Linked DNA regions of Sus scrofa. The protein of the gene in region 3 interacts with the protein of the main gene of each other region in a pairwise test. Links are inferred from orthologs where the notes say so. Each region holds a gene or a part of one and is shown on either strand. Other genes may lie near its edges.

Region 1 (5,660 bases), about 230 Mb from region 3:
TGGGTTAGGGCTTCAGCGTGAGAATTCCGGGAGGGACCGTTGAGACTAGACCTTGGCCTCTGCCGTTTTCCTGCTTCTTCTGACGTGCAGTCCTCCTCTGACTGTGACATCGCCCTCATCTGTCACCACGCCCATCCCATCCCCAGAAGCAGGGTGTAGCCACGTGCGCCCAGCGGGGCAGCGTCCCTGTGCAGCCCTGCTTGGCCCAGGCTGTTGGGTTACCTGGCAAAGCCCCTGTGCAACCCCACAGCCAGGCAGGATGCTGAGGCCTGGAGATGTGGAGTCCTGGCTGGGAGGTGGGGACGGCAGGGAGTGGTTCCTGGCCCCACTTCTAACCTCAGGTCCAGGGAATTGGGCGCCTGGGGCTTGGCAGGACAGCCCTGTGTTGCCTTGCTGGCAGTGCTCACCCTGACCTCTGGGCACCGCCTCCCTCATCCATCCTGAGTGGCCCCTGTGGCCCAGGGGTGGCCCTCATGTGTCTTCTCATGTGCCTTTGCGGTGTCTGGGACCCGTCAGGTGCTCCTGGTGCCCCGAGGTGGTAATGCGGTGCCTGCCCAGTGCCCCGGTGCTGGGGACACAGCCCCGCCGGCTCCCGCTGCCCGGTGCCACCCCGGCTGCCCTCCTATTCAGGCAGATGGGGGGCGGGGGCGTCCTGCAGCCAGAGCACTTTCTGAATGTGCCGCCTCTTTTCCAGCTGCATCCTCAGGGCCCGGGGTGCACCCTGGACCCCAAGGGTCAGAACCAGGGTGTGGGTGTAACAGCAAAGGGTGACTTCTAGGGCGACTTCATGCCTCTTCTACTCTGACCACGGAGCTGGCAGGTGCCTGAGAGGGTTCACCCGGGCTGCCGCCTTCCCAGTGGGCTGCGATTTGCAAGCTCCCTCCTGGGGGTTGATCCCGGGGCCTCTCCTGTACCCTGTGGAAGAGGCCTGGCTACCCGAGAGCCCCTGGCCACCAGGCCTTTGCACCCGAAGCCCTGTGTCATGGGGTCACTGGGAGCCTGGCTCACGCTGGCACGAACAGTGGGTGAGGGAGGGTGGCCGGCTCTCGGGGATCCCCCTGTTGGCACAGGTGGCAGTGGCTGCACTGGGCGACACGTGGTAGGGGAGCGCCACCCCACCCGAGAGCCAGTGCCCGGCGTGGCAGCTGTCTCTGTGCTCCATGCAGATGACGACAACCCGCCCGTGTCCTTCGTGAAGTTCTCTCCGAACGGCAAGTACATCCTGGCCGCGACCTTGGACAAGTAAGCCCTCTGTCCCCGTGCGGGCGGGTTACCAGGGCCATCGCCCCAGGGCCAGGATCCCAGAAAGACACCCGCTCCAGTGCCCGCACGGAGCCTGCTGGGTGCAGGCTGCTGATGTAGGCACCCTGCTGGGATGGTGGGCATGGCGGCCTCCCGGTGCTGCCCGCTCTGCCCGGGCGCCCTGCTCCTAACACGCTTCGGGTGGGTGTCCCGGCCGTCCACTGCCCTCCTGGAGGCGGCTGGCGCTCGGCCTCCCCGGGCACTGTGGGAGCCCTCGGGTGGGCTCACAGGGTCGGCCCCCACAGGAGGAGGAAGGACTGTCCGCCGAGGTCTGTTCTGGACGTGTCCGCAATGGGGCTTCCTGAGCCCTTTTCTCGCAGGGACGTGGACCCCTTCCCGGCTCGGGGAACGCTTAGTAGCTTCCTTTAACCAAGCCTCTTGGGGAGTTAACGTGTGGCTCGACAGGTTAAGGACTTGGCACTGCAGTAGCTCAGGTTCGATCCCTGGCCCAGGAATTTGCACACGCCTCGGCCGAGGCCAAGTGAAAAACAGTGTCTTGGGGTTCCCGCGCTCTGCTCCCAGGTGTCCTTGCTCTGTGGACCCTGGGCTGGGCGCGGGCACCGGAGAGGGTGGGTCCTCGGGGGCTCGGCTGACACGCCCTCTCCCCGCAGCACGCTGAAGCTCTGGGACTACAGCAAAGGGAAGGTGAGCGCCGGGACGGGCTGGCGGAGGGTCGTGCTGGGGCTGGGGCCGGGGCCACGGCTGGGCCGGGGTGGGTTGTGCTCAGAGCGGCTCCGTTGGCTGAAAGGTACCTGGATGGGTTACCCCGGGGTGCAGGGGGGCGCCACTGAGCGGACGGGCCCTGCTGTTTCAGTGTCTGAAGACGTACACCGGCCACAAGAATGAGAAGTACTGCATATTCGCGAATTTCTCTGTCACTGGCGGGAAGGTGAGTCATGTCCCTGCTGGGGGTTCTCCCCGGCCCCTCTGGGGCGCTTTTTAACCCAGTGCAGCCCCGCTGGTGGCATCCTCAGCGGGCCTTCCCATTGCGTCCTCTTCAGGGCCACAGGCTCCTTTGCGATGCCGAGGGTGTCAGCACCTTCTGGGAGTCAGGGACCCTGGCAGGCTCTGGCGTCTGGTCCCCGGGGCTCCCCGCCTCTCAGGCTCAGGCTGCGGGGGAGATGGTGACGGCAGCCCTGATTGGAGCAAACAGTTTATGTCCTAGAAGTGGCGGGTGCTGGTGCGGCATCGGGACAGGAGATGGGCGGAGACCCACACGGGGAGGGGTGCTGGTACTGCTGGTCCCCAGGCACGCGCCTGACACCCTCCCGCCCCGTGACAGTGGATCGTGTCGGGCTCGGAGGACAACTTGGTTTACATCTGGAACCTGCAGACGAAAGAGATTGTGCAGAAGCTGCAGGGCCACACGGGTGAGCTCTCCCCCACGGAGGGACCAGGTCCTGTGAGCATCCTCCTGCCTCTGCTCCTCGGCCCCCTGGGAGCCGGGGGCTCTGTTTGGAGCTGTGGGTCTGAGCGCCCGCAGGCCGAGCCCGAGTGTGGCTTTAACCTCTCCTCCGGCCCTTGACGTCCTTGTGGGCCCTGTGGTCTGTCCCCGTGGAGATGGTACAGGGACCCGGGCTGCCTGCCGTCTGCTCTGCCGGCTGGCTCCTTTCCAGGCTCTGACCTCCTGCCCGCTCCTGTCCCCTGTGTGGAGTACCTGGGCAGCCCCTAAGCCCCCCCCCCCGCCCTCCCCACTCCTGCTCAGTGCAGAGTGGTGTCCAGCCGTGGAGAGTCTGATGAGAGTGTGCGACTCTGCCTAAGGAAGCCACGCCACTGCCTGAGGTCCTGGCCTGAGCTTGGAGGTCCGTGCTGGCCTTCAGCTTCCGCACCTGGCCTGTTGCTTCTGCCCTGCTGTGGGCAGGATGCTCAGGCTTATTTGAAACCACTCAGGCAAGAGGGAAGATTCTGGGGTTCAGTTGTCTTTTTAGGGCCGCACCTGCGGCATATGGCGTTCCCAGGGTAGGGGCTGAATCAGAGCTGCAGCTGCTGGCCTCCTCCACAGCCACAGCAATGCCAGGGATCAAACCTGCGCCCTCATGGATACCAGTCAAATTTCTTTCCGCTGAGCCATGATGGGAGCTCCCAAGGGGCTGAGTTAATTTCAGAGCTGCAAAGTGTTAACCTGACGGACCCCAGGCGCCAGCCCCGGGGGTGAACTTGCAGCGCAGCCCTGCGGGCGTCCTCTGCTCCGCGGCGGGGAGCGCGTGGGTGCGCCGGTTTGGGTCCCGGTGCAGAGGGCGCGATGTCGATGCCGTGAGACGGACCCCGGCTGTGCCTCTGGCTTGTGAGGGGCCCCAGTCTCTGGGCTCGGCGCTGGGCAGCCTCCGGGCCCAGGCCGGTGCTGAGCACCTCGCGGCCCACTGTCCAGGCCTGGTGACCTGAGCTCTGGGCTCGGACGCCCTGGGGCGGGGCAGGGCTGCGGGGCGGGGCCACGGGGCGGGGCCGCGGAGGGACCGTGGTGCCTCTGCTTTCAGACGTGGTCATCTCGACGGCCTGCCACCCCACAGAGAACATCATCGCCTCGGCCGCGCTGGAGAACGACAAGACCATCAAGCTCTGGAAGAGCGACTGCTAGGCCCGCGGGCGCGGGGCTGTCGGGACGCCCAGCCGGGCTGGCGAGAGCTCGGTGCTCGAGGGGCTCCCTGGTCCAGGCCTGGGGACTGGAGGCGCCTGGGCCTGCGCCGCCTCCGAGGACGGCTTGGCCGAGGGCCGTGTCCTCCGCAGAGGTTCTCGGAGCTGCCGGTGGCGATTCTTGCCAATGCCTGTCTTGTTGGCTGGGGAAGAGTTAGAGTCTGTATTGTGTTCGGAGGCCACAGAAATTTCTAATTTTTTATTACAAAAGGTGAAGTTCAATTTATCACGAGTTGTGTTTTTTTCCAGTAACTGTTCTGTGCATTTTATCACCCAGTGCAAGTGCTGGACCAGTCGCCACCACGGTGTGTGGGCGCCAGCCTCGCCCACCCGGCCTCAGAGGGGCCCCCTCGTGGGTCCAGTGACCTCTCTGGGGACCCCCACCCGGTGTTGGTCCTGCCCGCGCTCGAAAGCAGCGTGTCTGCAGCGTGTCTGCCCACGTGCCTTTGGCATCGGGGCCGTTGTCCCCGTGCTGCCAGCGTGGGGGTCACCCTGGGCGCTTCTGTTTGTCCCTCTGGTGGTCACACGCAGGCAGCGCCCCAGCGGTGATAAAGGTGGCAGCCTGGGCGAGTGGCCGCCGGGTTCTCACACAGAGCTTTGCTCGCTCTTTTGTGGAAAGCCTCGCGGTCGGCAGGAGGTTGAGAGGACGCCTCTCAAAAGACAGGTCCGAGGGATGCGCCACTCCTTGTCCACGCGGGCTCGAGGGCCCCTGCAGGCTGGTGGCCTGTGGATGTGGGGGCGCAGGACGGAGGGGGCCCCGTGGCCGCTGTGGGTGCGGGTGAGGGTGGAGGAGGCTGTGACCTGAGGGCGCAGTGGTGTCCACGCCTGCCGCCCACGCCAGGACGGGCTCCCCGCGGGGGCCTGGCGTCAGCCACCCACACAGTGGGCGCTGCCCCTAGCAGAGGGAGCGAGGGCGCTGGAGGCTTCTGGACGGACGGCAGAGCAGGGCCGTGGGGGACCCCTCTCTGCAGTGAGGCCACCCCGTAGTCCCAGGCCCACCTGCGGCTCCAAGACCGTAGCGGTGGAGGCTGCTTCGTAAGGAGCATCCCCTGCCTGTGGCCGGGAGTCTGGCCCGTGCTCAGGCTCGGGGCTCATCTCCCCTGGGGCCACTCCTGGGGCCCGAGTGCCTGGGTCCTGGCTCCATCGCGCTGAGTGACAGTGTGCAGGTGGGGGCGTGAGGGCTGCTGTCACACAGAACATGGGGAAACAAGCCACTTCCCGCCCTGCCCTTCAGAAGTAGGCGGACAGCGGGCTGGCTCTAGGGACGAATAGCTCGGGTGAAAGGACACTGCATTCCCCGGGCGACAGCCTGGGAGGCGCTGAGCTCCCGCGGCCGTGGTGTGGCCTCAGATTTCCTTTGGTTCTGTTGGTTCTGGCGTTGGGCGCAGCCCGGGAGGAGGGCGTATGTGCAGGGCCCTGTGTCCTGGAATATAGTTTATTTTTTCTACATTTGAATTCTCTGTTGTAGATTTATGTAAAAATACATTCTCTTTTTGAAAATAAAGAGCTTCCTGTCTTGTAATTCTGTCCGCGAGAACTGTTTGCCTTTCTTAACCTCTGGCTGTCACCAGAGTGGGAGGCGGCCTGAGGCGGCCCTGCTCTCTGCTCGGGCTTTGCAGTGCCCTGGAGGCTAGCGTGCTCTGGCGGGAAGTTCTTGGTGTTTTTAAAATACCCCTTTCTTAAGAAAATTACGTATTTGTGCTCATTACTAACAGTATAATAAAGGC
Region 2 (5,771 bases), on a different chromosome or scaffold from region 3:
AGAATTTAAATGGGTCTCTTCGGATCCATCAGCTTCCTCTCCTTCTGATCATCAAACTCTTCTCATGGGAACTGGCCATTTGCCTCCCGCCTCCTCTAGTTACAGATGTCCATTTCTACACACGCCCATCCGCCACAACCTGCACTTTGCTAAGAGGACACTCTGTTCTGACCCTTCACTGAACACACATAACGAACGCCAGGACGTGCGACTCACAGACCGGGCCACAGCGACCTTCTCTTACCTCCTGCAGAAACTTTTCACTCATTTGACCGAAGGGGTGTCCCGGGGGCTTGATCCCAGACACCACCAGCCCGGAGCTGAACACCCGGGGCCTCTGCAAGTCCGGCTTGAACTTCTCGTAGAGGCCGGCCGCCGGCTTCAGGTCCCCGCCCGCCCCCTTCTCCTCTTTGGGGAGCGGCACGGCACACGCGGGCGGAGCGTAAGGAAGGCCCACGGGGACCAGCGACGCGTCCACCTGGCCCAGGGCCTGGGGGCCCCTCCTGATGTACGTGATGATCTTGGGCCTCACGGGCTTGGGCTTGGGCACGATCACGGCCTTGGGGTCCGCCCTCTCCTCCGGCTTCTCCGGCTGGGGGCCCTCCAGCCCCTCCTGCGAGGCGGCCACAGGCTTGGGGATCCCGGTGGGGCAGGCGCCCTTGTCAGGCACTTTCGGGGCAGCGAGTGACAACCTCGCGCTGTCGGCGGGGGGCGGGGCAGCCGGGGAGGACCCCGCGTCCACACTCCAGGCGCCCGGGTCCTGAGCGCGGCTGCTGGGGGGTGGAGGCTGGCGGGACACAGTCACAGTTGTCTCTGGGTGGAGGGGCACTGGGACCCTGAGAAGGGGTTCTGTTCTCGCTGGGGTGCTTTCAGTCTTAGCATTTTCTAGACGGTCCCTAGTCTCGACAGGGCACGCAGGGATCTCTGTGCCTTCGCTGGCTTCTGAGGTGCTGCCGGGAAGGGGCTCAGGGACCCCAACTTTGCTCCCTCCAGTGGAAGGGTCTGAATTAAAAACTCCAGGGCTGTTCTCGTTCCCAGGGCCCAGGACCCCATTCTCCGCCCTGGGATCCAAGGGCCTGCTGTCCCTCGAATCATCAGGAGTCAAAGCCACGTGACCATCACCTGCTGAAACGCGGCTGGATGCCACAGTGTCACCCAGTCTGCTGGCTGCGCTTGGGGAAATTCGACCTATGGGCTGATGATCAGCAGCCCCCAAGGAAGCAGGGCTCTGTGTGGGGGTGCCCTGAAGAGACCCCTCCTCGTTTCTCTTTTCCTGCTCCCTCCTGCCTCTTCCCACGCCCAGTGGGTGGGGACCGCTGTGGGCCAGGCCGCTGAACGCAGCGCCGGAGGCTTCTTGCTGTGCTTCCCCAGCCGGCTCCCTTCTCCCGAGAGGTGACACCACATCCTCCTTAGCACATTCCGGGCCGTCCACCTGGGCGTACCTGAGCTCCTGCCCGGGCCTGGGCTGGACGAGCTTCGGCTCCGTTGTAGGCTCTGCCTTGCCCTGACCTGGTTGTGCTTCTGGCTGCCTCAAGACACCCCTGGATGCTGGAGTGGAATCGGGAGTGCCCTCTGGGTGGGCAGAAGGCACCGTGCCCTGGGCGCTTACTTGGGGGACCCATCCCAGGGCGGGCGGCATCTCCTTGGCTTCTGAGGTAGATGGTTTAGGATGACACACGCTCTCTCCCTCTGAGGTGCTGTCGGCTGGGGGACATGCCGGCCTTGCAGGAGGGGCCATCCCCGTCTTCTGCGGCCCCTCTCCATCTCCGGGCACCGCAGGCTGCGGAAGAGGCCAGGCCAGGCCCCCAGCCCGCTCCTTTGTGAGCACGTCCAGGGCCACAGAGGCGCTGCCGGCTCTCTCCAAAGAATGCCTCCTCAACTCCTCGTTGTCCAGGGTCTTGGCCAGCTTATCCTTGGGAACAGGCCGGGGAGTCTCCACCTCCCTTTTAGCCAAAGCCTCTGGCCCGGCCTCGCCCGCAGCGGTCCTCCAGCTCAGCAGACCTGGTCCCTGCAGGCCCCGAGGGCCCTGCGGGGGCTCTGCGCCCCTCTCCAGCACGGGCTCTTCACTCAGTGCTCTTGGAACTGTCAGAGAAAATTTAAAATCCTTCAGGCTGGCGGGGCCGCCCTGGGGGGCCTTCCCAAAGGCCGGAAGTGGGTGGAAGTCCTTGTGGACGCGGCTGCTGTTTTCTGGCCCCCTCGAGTTTGCATTTCCAATCTCGCCGTCAGCAGGAGAGGAGCCGACCTCCAACATGATGGGGTTGGCGTTGGTATCGCCCAGGCTTAGGACGCTCTCGTTATTGTTTTTCACCCCATTGCTGCTGTCCCGCAACTCGGTATAACACGACTTCTTAGGAGGCGCTGGGACGCTCATTGTGAATCCTTGGGTGGGGGCCGCCTGCCATGCAGGCGCCCTTCGCGGAGAGGGGCTTCCTTCCAGCTGCTCCCCGGTGAACGGGAAATTCTCAAGCTGCTGGCTGCCCCCTGAGAAGGTCACTGGGCGATCCCGCCTTGATCATTTTCAGAGCGGTTTTAAAATCCAGCATTGTCTTGACCCACAGCAAGGTGATGTCTCTGTTGGGTTCCAGCTCAATGAGAGCCAATTAGCCCATGAGACCTAGAGAGAAAGAAAAAGAAAAGCACATTCGATCCACAGAGACTCTCGGGAGAAAAAGGCCTGGGAAGCACAGACCGAGTCACCACTTTCCTACTATTACTTAAGCCACTGGAGCCAGATCAGATTTCTCAAAAACCTTCCCCACAGGGGCTCCTGCTGGCCAAATATGGGAAACTGTAACGTCAAAAGGATCGATGTTAGGAGTTCCCACTGTGGCGCAGCAGAAACAAACCTGCCTAACATCCGTGAGGATGCGAGTTCGATCCCTAGCCTCACTCCGCGGGTTAAAGATCTGGTGTTGCTGTGAGCTGTGGTGTAGGTCACAGATGCGGCTCGAATCCTGCATTGCTGTGGCTGTGGTGCAGGCTGGCAGCAGTAGCTCTGATGAGAACCCCTAGCCTGGGAACTTCCATAAGCCGCGGGTATGGCTCTTAAAAAAAAAAAAAAAAAAAAAAAAAAAAAAGATTAATCTTAGAAATGGATGATAAATACATATGAATTAAGTTCAAATTTTAAACACCCACAAGCTCACCATGATACTGATTAAAAAGAGGAGAGGAGACAGGAAGGCTCTTCTTCACGGAAGAGTACAAACTGACATGCGAAAAATTAGGTGCTTAGAAACATCCCCGGAGTAATAACTATTGTGGGGGAGGGGCCGATGGTGGCTAAAATCACTGAGTGCAGAATTGCAGGGGAACAGGATATTTACAGAAGCCTAAGGCACCACCCTCCAGATTACTGAATTTCTTACAAAGGAGCGTTTCAGCCGTACAGTGGAGAAAGCCCGTGGACAGCACCGTACCTCGTGATCAAATCCGACATCAATACGGAAACGGGTACCACGTGCTCCAGAGGCCAGGTGGCTCTCAGTGCTCCATCCCCTGGGGGAGTAGCCTCGCTATAAACATGCAACCTGTTAACCATGAGGAAATAATCAGGCACATGTGTGTGGGGGGGTGCCTTTTTATTTTTTATTTTTTTTTAGGGCTGCACCCAAGGCATATGGAATTTCCCAGGCTAGGGGCTGAATCGGAGCCATAGCTACTACACCAGAGCCACAGCTACACCAGATCCAAGCCAGGTCTGTGACCTACGTCACAGCTCATGGCAACACCGATCCTCAACCCACTGAGTGAGGCCAGGGATGGAAGCTGCGTCCTCGTGGATGCCAGTCAGATTCACGGACGCCAATGAGATTCGTTTCTGCTGAGGCACAACGGGAACTCCTCCAGGCACATTTAAATCGATGGGCAGTCTACAAAACAGCTGGGCTAAAGTTGCCTCCCCCAAAAGGCCAGGGGACATCTAGACGCAACGCACGATCCTTGACTGGATCCTGGCTTTTTAAAACGTTAGCAAAGGTCACGGGGCCGATTTGAGATCTCAGTGGAGACTACGTACAGAGTAAAGGTATTGATCAGTGTTCACTTTGCTGGGTGTGCAGCAGCAGCATCGTGATGCCACCGCAGCTAAGTCTGTGTTCCCAGAAGGCACCTGACATGAAACATGACATGCTTTTTGCAGGACAGGTTGTCTGTCACTTACTCTCAAATGGTTGGGCAAAGAGAAAAACGTGTGCGTGAAAGAGACAGTGCACACAACCTTGGGAAAACGTTTGCCATTTGAAAACCTAGGCAGTCCTTTCAAATACACCTGCCACTTCCTTCAAAATAAGAAGGTGGAGAACATTCTGGTCCTGCCTGTGGGGCCTGCAGGATCCGTCCCGTACAGGCCTTTCTGGCTTCATCCCCTCTGGTCCTCTTCCGCCCTCGGCTGCAGCCGCACTGTCCTCATCCCTCGTGTTCCTTCCCCCTGCTTCAGGGCCTTTGCACACACTCTCCCACCCGCGTGAAATGTGGAATCTTCCCCCAACCTTGTCCATAGAGCTCCCTGTCATTTGCAGTTTGCAGCATAAATGCCACTTCCTCCAGGAAGCCTGCCTGATCCACTAGATTAGGTCTTTCTATGTGAACTTCCATAACACCCTCCATTTTAACTTTAAAAAAATCCTTGAAATATGCTAGGCACTGAAGAAAATATTGTTAATATTGAGAATTAATATACATTAATATATATTATATACAATCATATAATGTTATATCATACCATGTATCATACATGATATATTATATATTATATATCATGTATCACATTATATCATATATGTTACATAATATGTATCATATCATACACATGGCACTTGACATATATTCATAGCATGAATGAATGAATACATGATTAACCAAATGATGAAGATCAATATTATTTCTGCCTTCATCGAGCTTAAATTCTCATAGAGTAATTAAATTTCTACCAAAGGAGACTCACAGATCATCAGTAAACCACTCAAGGCTAACAATGTTTTAGCCACTACTGTGAATGCATTTATTAGGCCCTGGGGACGGGAGAATTTAAGAGTAATAAGCTTCTGCCTCGTCCCCAGGTCCCCCAAAGGGGATTCAAAGTGAGCAGCTGCCGTCTGCAGCTCCCTCTGCTTCTCATGAGCATACGCACGTGCGCACACATCACATGGGAGGCTGCTGTGAGGTTTCTACTAAAATAGGTTACAGGGAAGCCACTCCTCTTCCCCTCGTCACTGCTTCACATGCTCTTTCACACATTCAAAGGAACATGTGTGTATCCTCATGTTCTGGGTACATCGGTACACAGACTACACCTGCGCAGGTGTATGCATGCTCCACATCCGTGTACATTTGTTTTATAACATGTTATAAAACAAAAGAACACAAGGCACGAGAAAAACAAAGTGCTGGAAAAATCGCCAATACCTTGCAGCTCCCTCCATGCTCCCGTCCATCTCCATCCCAACCGCCCAACTTCATTTTTCACTGGACCACCTCCCGCGGGCGTCCCTAAGAACTCAATTAACGGAGCTTTCTTTTCCTTTCATCTGTTTGCATCAAGACATTAACACGTACTTTTTACATAAATGAGGTCATTTCTTATAAGCTTTTGTATCTTTTTATTTGACCCTTCCCCCTCGCCCTCCCGCGGCAGGGCGCCCTGACATGGAGGTCTAGGTCTTTCCATTCCTCTCCCCATGCTGTAGACTCCTGTCCAAATACCCACCTGTACACAGGTGTGCACTTTCACCTCCCTGCCACGTCGCACTGCGTCTCCACCCTCCCAGCCC
Region 3 (5,771 bases):
GGGATGACTCATTCCGTCTAATTTAGCCTAAAAAATGTAAGCTCCTATGAGAAAGTCAGCCGCCTGGAGGGCCTTTTTCTGTAGTTCACTGCTCAATATCCAGTGCCTAAAAGAAATCCCTTATATGTAGTAGACAATTAACAATACATTTTTTTTTCCTTTTTGTCTTTTTGCCTTTTCTAGGGCTGCTCCCATGGCATATGGAGGTTCCCAAGCTAGGGATCTAATCAGAGCTGTAGCTGCCAGCCTACACCACAGCCACAGCAACATGGGATCCAGGCTGCGTCTGTGACCTGCACCAGAGCTCACAGCAATACCGGATCCTTAACCCACTGAGCAAGGCCAGGGATCGAACCCAAAATCTCAAGGTTCTTAGTCGGATTTGTTAACTACTGAGCCATGACAGGAACTCCTAATAATGCATTTTTTGAATGGATGATATGTTTTGCTGAAATAAGTATGTTGACTAAATCCACAGAAGGAAGGGGTAGGGATACAGGGTAGTGGACCATGAAAGAAAATGGCCTATTACCGCATAATTTTAATTAAATATGGAATGTGTTAATAAAAGGCTTGGGGAAATTAGAGGGAATTTTAGCAGAAAGAAATGACAAAAAAAAAAAAAAAAAAAAAAAAAAAAAAGATGTTCCAGCTCATGGAAACTTTCCCACATTAAAAATAAATAAACTGATTATGCCTTATCCTCTCTATGAGCTGTGAAGTCTGTACTTTTCCTGGGCTTTTGGAACTAGATCTCACTTCCTTGAATAGGCTATAAAAACGTCTTATAACAGGGAAGCCTTGAATTATAATGCTAGTATTTAGTATTTGTTTAATTTCCTAAATTTACTTTTTAAAAGGTTTCATCTTCAAAACCAGAAGAAAATAAAATTCGTCAGGAAGATTTAACAAAAATTATAAGTAGTGCTCAGAAGGTTCAAATAAAACAAGAAACTATTGAGTCCAGGCTTTCTGAATTGAAAAGGTAAAGTAGTATTTTCAAATATAATCCTGATATGAGGTTTGGTGTGTCTGTATGTGTGTTTGGATTGGAGGTTGATGCTTTAAGTACTTAGATTATGTTGTTGAGCCAAGATTAAAAGCCATTTTTCTTAAGTGTTGATTCCCTTTACTTTTTTATTTGTAGCTATATATAGACTTTACCGCAATAGTATATTTTTATGATTGTGATTAAAAAAAAGTATAAACCTGGACAGTCAAAACAATTTGCGCAAGTTTTACTGATGAAATAATAGATCACTAATTTGGTGTAGGAAATAGGATTCTGCTTTCATATGTTTACATATGAGGACACACAAGTCATAAAAAATACTGTATATATAACTCGTCCTTATAGCAGTGTAAGATATTTTCTGTGTGGCCTATCTTTTAAGACACAAAAATAGGGAAAAAAGGACACAAGAGACTTGCCCTACTTGATAGTTACATAGACTTGAGAAAATATTACTCAAACCTTTTATCTGCAGAAGATGCTTTATTTTGCTTCAGTACGTTTTTTGGCACCATTATCCTAATGCCACAGTAACAATTCATATATAGAGTAGATGTGTATTTTTATTCTTAGTAAGTAGCTAGAAATTTTCTTTTAGCGTAGTAGGTGCCAAGGTCTTGAGAGTAGTTCTTTTATGTATTGTCCCTTTCATGTCAAATATGGGGCATTAGTTTAGCTATTTTTTTTTTTTTTTTTTTTTTTTTTTGTCTTTTTGCCATTTCTTGGGCTGCTCCTGCGGCATATGGAGGTTCCCAGGCTAGGGGTCCAATCGGAGCTGTAGCCACCAGCCTATGCCAGAGCCACAGCAACGGGGGATCCGAGCCGTGTCTGCAACCTACACCACAGCTCACGGCAACGCCGGATCCTTTAACCCACTGAGCAAGGCCAGGGGTCGAACCCGCAACCTCATGGTTCCTAGTCGGATTCGTTAACCACTGCGCCACGACGGGAACTCCAGTTTAGCTATTCTTAAGTATTTTCATTAAGAGAATAACCTTGGGCTTTGATTCTCTTTTTGAATAAGCCTTAATTTTAAGCTTGCCCCTTTTGCATGTTTTATTTAAGCACTTGTATTGGTTTACTGTATGTATCTTGTGTTTTCTGAAGTGCCTTTTGACCCAATTCCTTGAATTTCAGGTTTAGCCCTTAAGGAATGGGATCCAAAATTCATTCTAAGTCTCAGTGGTAACCATTCTCTTACTTATCTGTAGTAGGCAGGTGACAGTATCTTTACATTTCTGAATCAGAAAAAAGTACAGTAGTTATTCAGTAAGTATTAAAGTCTTATTTTCTGTGCCCTCTATACCTAAATCCAGTCCCTTTTGTAATGGTCTGGACTGAGAAGGTTGGCTTTTGTGGAAATTAATAAAAGAACAAAAATAAAATCATTTAATAGATAAATTATCTTTCATGCCTTCTCAGCTTTATCATTGCTGACATTTAGTAACCGCAATTTCAATAAAAATGGTGAATGAAAGGAGAAAACTTACTACTAGGCACATAGTTTGTTATGTATTTGGATATGCTTAAAAAGCACGCTTTTAATATGCTTTAAAAAATTTATATGCTTATGTTTGAGACAGACAGTTTTAGAGTCTGATAGACTTTAGTTCAACATCAACACTTACCACATTGTGTGATCTTGGGTAAGTCTTTTCAGTTCCCTGAGTCTCAGTCTCCTCAGCTATAAAATAGTTATATAATTCCTTTCTGGACAGATTTAAGAAACATTTAAATGAGTAATATGCATAAAATGCTTATATAAATAGTGTCTGGCATGGCAAGTGTTGGTTAAATGTTACTTCCCTTTAAGAATTGTTTCCTAAGCACAAGTTCTGAATTCACATGATTGAAAGTTAGCTTATTTTTATATTTATTTTTTGCCTTTCTACAGCATATGGAGTTCCTGGTCCGAGCCACATTTGGGACCTCTGCCCCAGGTGTGGCAATGCTGGATCCTTTAGCCCACTGTACCAGGCCAGGGTTCAAACCTGCATCCTGGCCCGTCAGAGATGCCGCCAATTCCATTACGCTACAGCGGGATCTCCAAAAAGTTAGCTTGTTTCTTAAACAAGAAGTGATTAACCACATTGTCAGAGGAGTATATGGCCTATTAAGTGTTTGTATATATACTGCCATGAGTAGAAGATACTATAGTTATAAAGGAAAGATTCTGGAGTTGTGTCAAAATAGGTGTCATTCTGTGTAATTGAACCACAGTTTTCCTAGTCTCATGAAGATAGGTAGTAAAAACTAGTTCTGTTTTATGGTATTCTTAAAAATGTTGAGGCCTGGTTTTTCTGACTAAATTTATTAATTTTTATTTTTAATAAATGATAACATAGTGAGAATGAGTCCCTTTGGAAGGAGGTGTCAGAATTAAGAGCAAAACATGCACAACAACAGCAAGTTATTCGAAAGGTAAGCTTTTTTTTCCTGTGACCATAATCTGCGTTTATTTGAGTACTATTTGTGACCTTCGAGAAACCTCTATTAAATAGTGATTGATCTTAGTTTTTTTAATATATTGGGTACACAGAAGTAAACCTATGAAATCAAACAAGCCAATGTTATATATTTTTTAATTAAAAAATTTCTCATTAGCTAAATACAGTCATTGCATACTTGCAACTAATGTTTCATTAGCTTTTAGTAAAATCTTTTTCCTGATATAACAACTTTAGTATACTTCATTCTTAGGAGCATAATTAATATACTACCAATTTCTTAACACATTTTATATAAAAGACATAGCCTTACTATGTAGGATGTTTTTGTTTTTTGTTTTACTTTAAAAGGTATAGATTCAGTCTCAGATAAATGACTAATATTTTCAAGTTAACTGATCAAATTATATGCTCAGAAGAGTTACTAGTGTGTGCTGTCATTAGTCTGTGCAGAAAAGCAGTGAATGCAGTGTTATAAAATGTATCTGAGCTGAAAATTACTAGGGGAACCAAAAAAAACTCTCGGCCACATAGTGTCCTTGTACTTTAATCTTCTCATATCAGCTTTCATATGTTAATAAGAGGTGAAACATAAAAGTAATTAAGGCAGCTATTTTTTGCTCATGAGTAAACTGGACTCTTAAGTTTAAGCAACAGGTTTTTTTTGGGGGAGGGAGGGTGGGCGAGCTTCAGTTTGTTCCTAACCCAGAGGCCTTTAGCTAAAAATAGGGTTATGACTGAAAAGATGTGGGTCTGATGGAGCAGGCTTAGAATACAGAGATGAATGGTAGTTGCAGCCTTTCCCCTATAATTAATATAGGTATACTGATTTTTAAAAATCACTATGAAAATGGAGGTTGAATGTAGGTAGCATTCAGTTCTAGGTGTTTAGTCCAAGTTTTATGTATTTTCAGAACTTCCATAGTTGATTCCAACTTGAAGCTATGTTTAAGAATACCCGACTTAGGAGTTCCCATGTGACTCAGTGGGTTAATCATCTGGCATTATCACTGCAGTGGCTCAGATTGCTGCTTTGGTGCGGGTTCAATCCCTGGCTGCCATGAGCACAGCCCCCCCAAAAAAGTATACCTGATTTAAAATGATAAGTGTACCTTAACCTGTATTTTATTTTAAAAATTTGCTTCCCCCTGCCCTGGAAAACAGTGTTCGGGTTAAATATTAACTCACAGTACTCCATAATTTGAAGTGGTTTTTTTTTTTTTTTTTTTCCTGAAAGCAGTAGTAGTTAGTAAAATATTTATTTAACATTTCAGTTTTACATGAAAGCTAACATTCTTTCTGCTCAAATTTGAGTTTGCATCTATATTTTAGTGAGGTTAGGGTGTTTACATAATGCATGATGACAGCTGATAAATTTTTTCTCTATTCCTGGAATTTGTTTCTAACTCTTCCACTTTTTGGCCTTGGAATAATAATATATGGGAGGTATCTTTATAGGATTTGTTAGGTACAGAGCTGATAAGATAGATAGATATATGGGTAGATGGATGTCCTAGGCTTCTCTATATTTTAGGCAGCAGCTTTATCACAGATTTTTCTTCTGCCTGGAAGCTGGTATGTTTCTTTAGATACTGTAAGATGCACCCACATTTATAATATGTTAATTTTCAAGAAAGTATGTGACTTAGAGGACATATACTATGTGAGTTAATTTTATAAGACTTGTAATATGGACTAAAGAATTAGGAATCGGTAATGGAACATCTTTAAATTTTCCTTTTAGATTGTCCAGTTTATTGTTACATTGGTTCAGAATAACCAACTTGTGAGTTTAAAACGTAAAAGGTAAGCTTTTATACTACATCTTGACCTAGTCATAGACAACCAGACATGTTAAGAGTTTAACCATGAATTGCCTACATTTGTTCAGTGTATGCCTCTTGTCCAAGATGAACAGTCCTCCCTTGTTAAATTATACTTTCAACATTTTAAGAGTGATGTTGTGGAGTTCCCATCATGGCGCAGCGGAAACGAATCTGTCTGGGAACGATGAGGTTGCGGGTTCGATCCCCGGCCTTGCTCAGTGGGTTAAGGATCTGGCGTTGCTGTGAGCTGTGATGTAGGTCGAAGATGTGGCTTGGATCTGGCGTTGCTGTGGCTGTAGCATAGGCCAGCAGCTGTAGCTCTGATAAGACCCCTAGCCTGGGAATCTCTATAACAAACAAACAAAAAGAGTGATGTTTCCTACTATGTCATCTTGCTGTTTTTGAGAGCTAAGGATATCCTAAATGGTAACTTTACATATATATACACGTACAGTTAATAAAGAATCAACTTTTCATTCACAGTAT

The links. The genes of interacting proteins can lie anywhere in the genome.
Region 1: the proteins of HSF2 (region 3) and WDR5 interact in binary tests that used the Homo sapiens proteins (3 or more experiments, as listed by UniProt). The two-hybrid records come from large-scale screens. The link is inferred for Sus scrofa from reciprocal best matches to the Homo sapiens genes HSF2 and WDR5.
Region 2: the proteins of HSF2 (region 3) and MTUS2 interact in binary tests that used the Homo sapiens proteins (3 or more experiments, as listed by UniProt). The two-hybrid records come from large-scale screens. The link is inferred for Sus scrofa from reciprocal best matches to the Homo sapiens genes HSF2 and MTUS2.

What each region holds. Positions count from the first base shown.
Region 1 is NC_010443.5:273,572,391-273,578,050, forward strand, and holds the end of WDR5 (WD repeat-containing protein 5), read left to right. Parts: exon of another isoform or gene 1-1,166; coding exon 1,167-1,242; exon of another isoform or gene 1,243-1,913; coding exon 1,914-1,947; intron 1,948-2,116; coding exon 2,117-2,191; exon of another isoform or gene 2,192-2,584; coding exon 2,585-2,672; intron 2,673-3,776; coding exon 3,777-3,877; 3' UTR 3,878-4,165; downstream 4,166-5,660.
Region 2 is NC_010453.5:6,194,539-6,200,309, reverse strand, and holds part of MTUS2 (microtubule-associated tumor suppressor candidate 2), read right to left. Parts: intron 2,615-5,771; 5' UTR 2,372-2,614; coding exon 245-2,371; intron 1-244. UniProt on the Homo sapiens protein: Binds microtubules. Together with MAPRE1 may target the microtubule depolymerase KIF2C to the plus-end of microtubules. May regulate the dynamics of microtubules at their growing distal tip.
Region 3 is NC_010443.5:40,161,811-40,167,581, reverse strand, and holds part of HSF2 (heat shock factor protein 2), read left to right. Parts: intron 1-860; coding exon 861-985; intron 986-3,357; coding exon 3,358-3,433; intron 3,434-5,203; coding exon 5,204-5,265; intron 5,266-5,771. UniProt on the Homo sapiens protein: DNA-binding protein that specifically binds heat shock promoter elements (HSE) and activates transcription. In higher eukaryotes, HSF is unable to bind to the HSE unless the cells are heat shocked.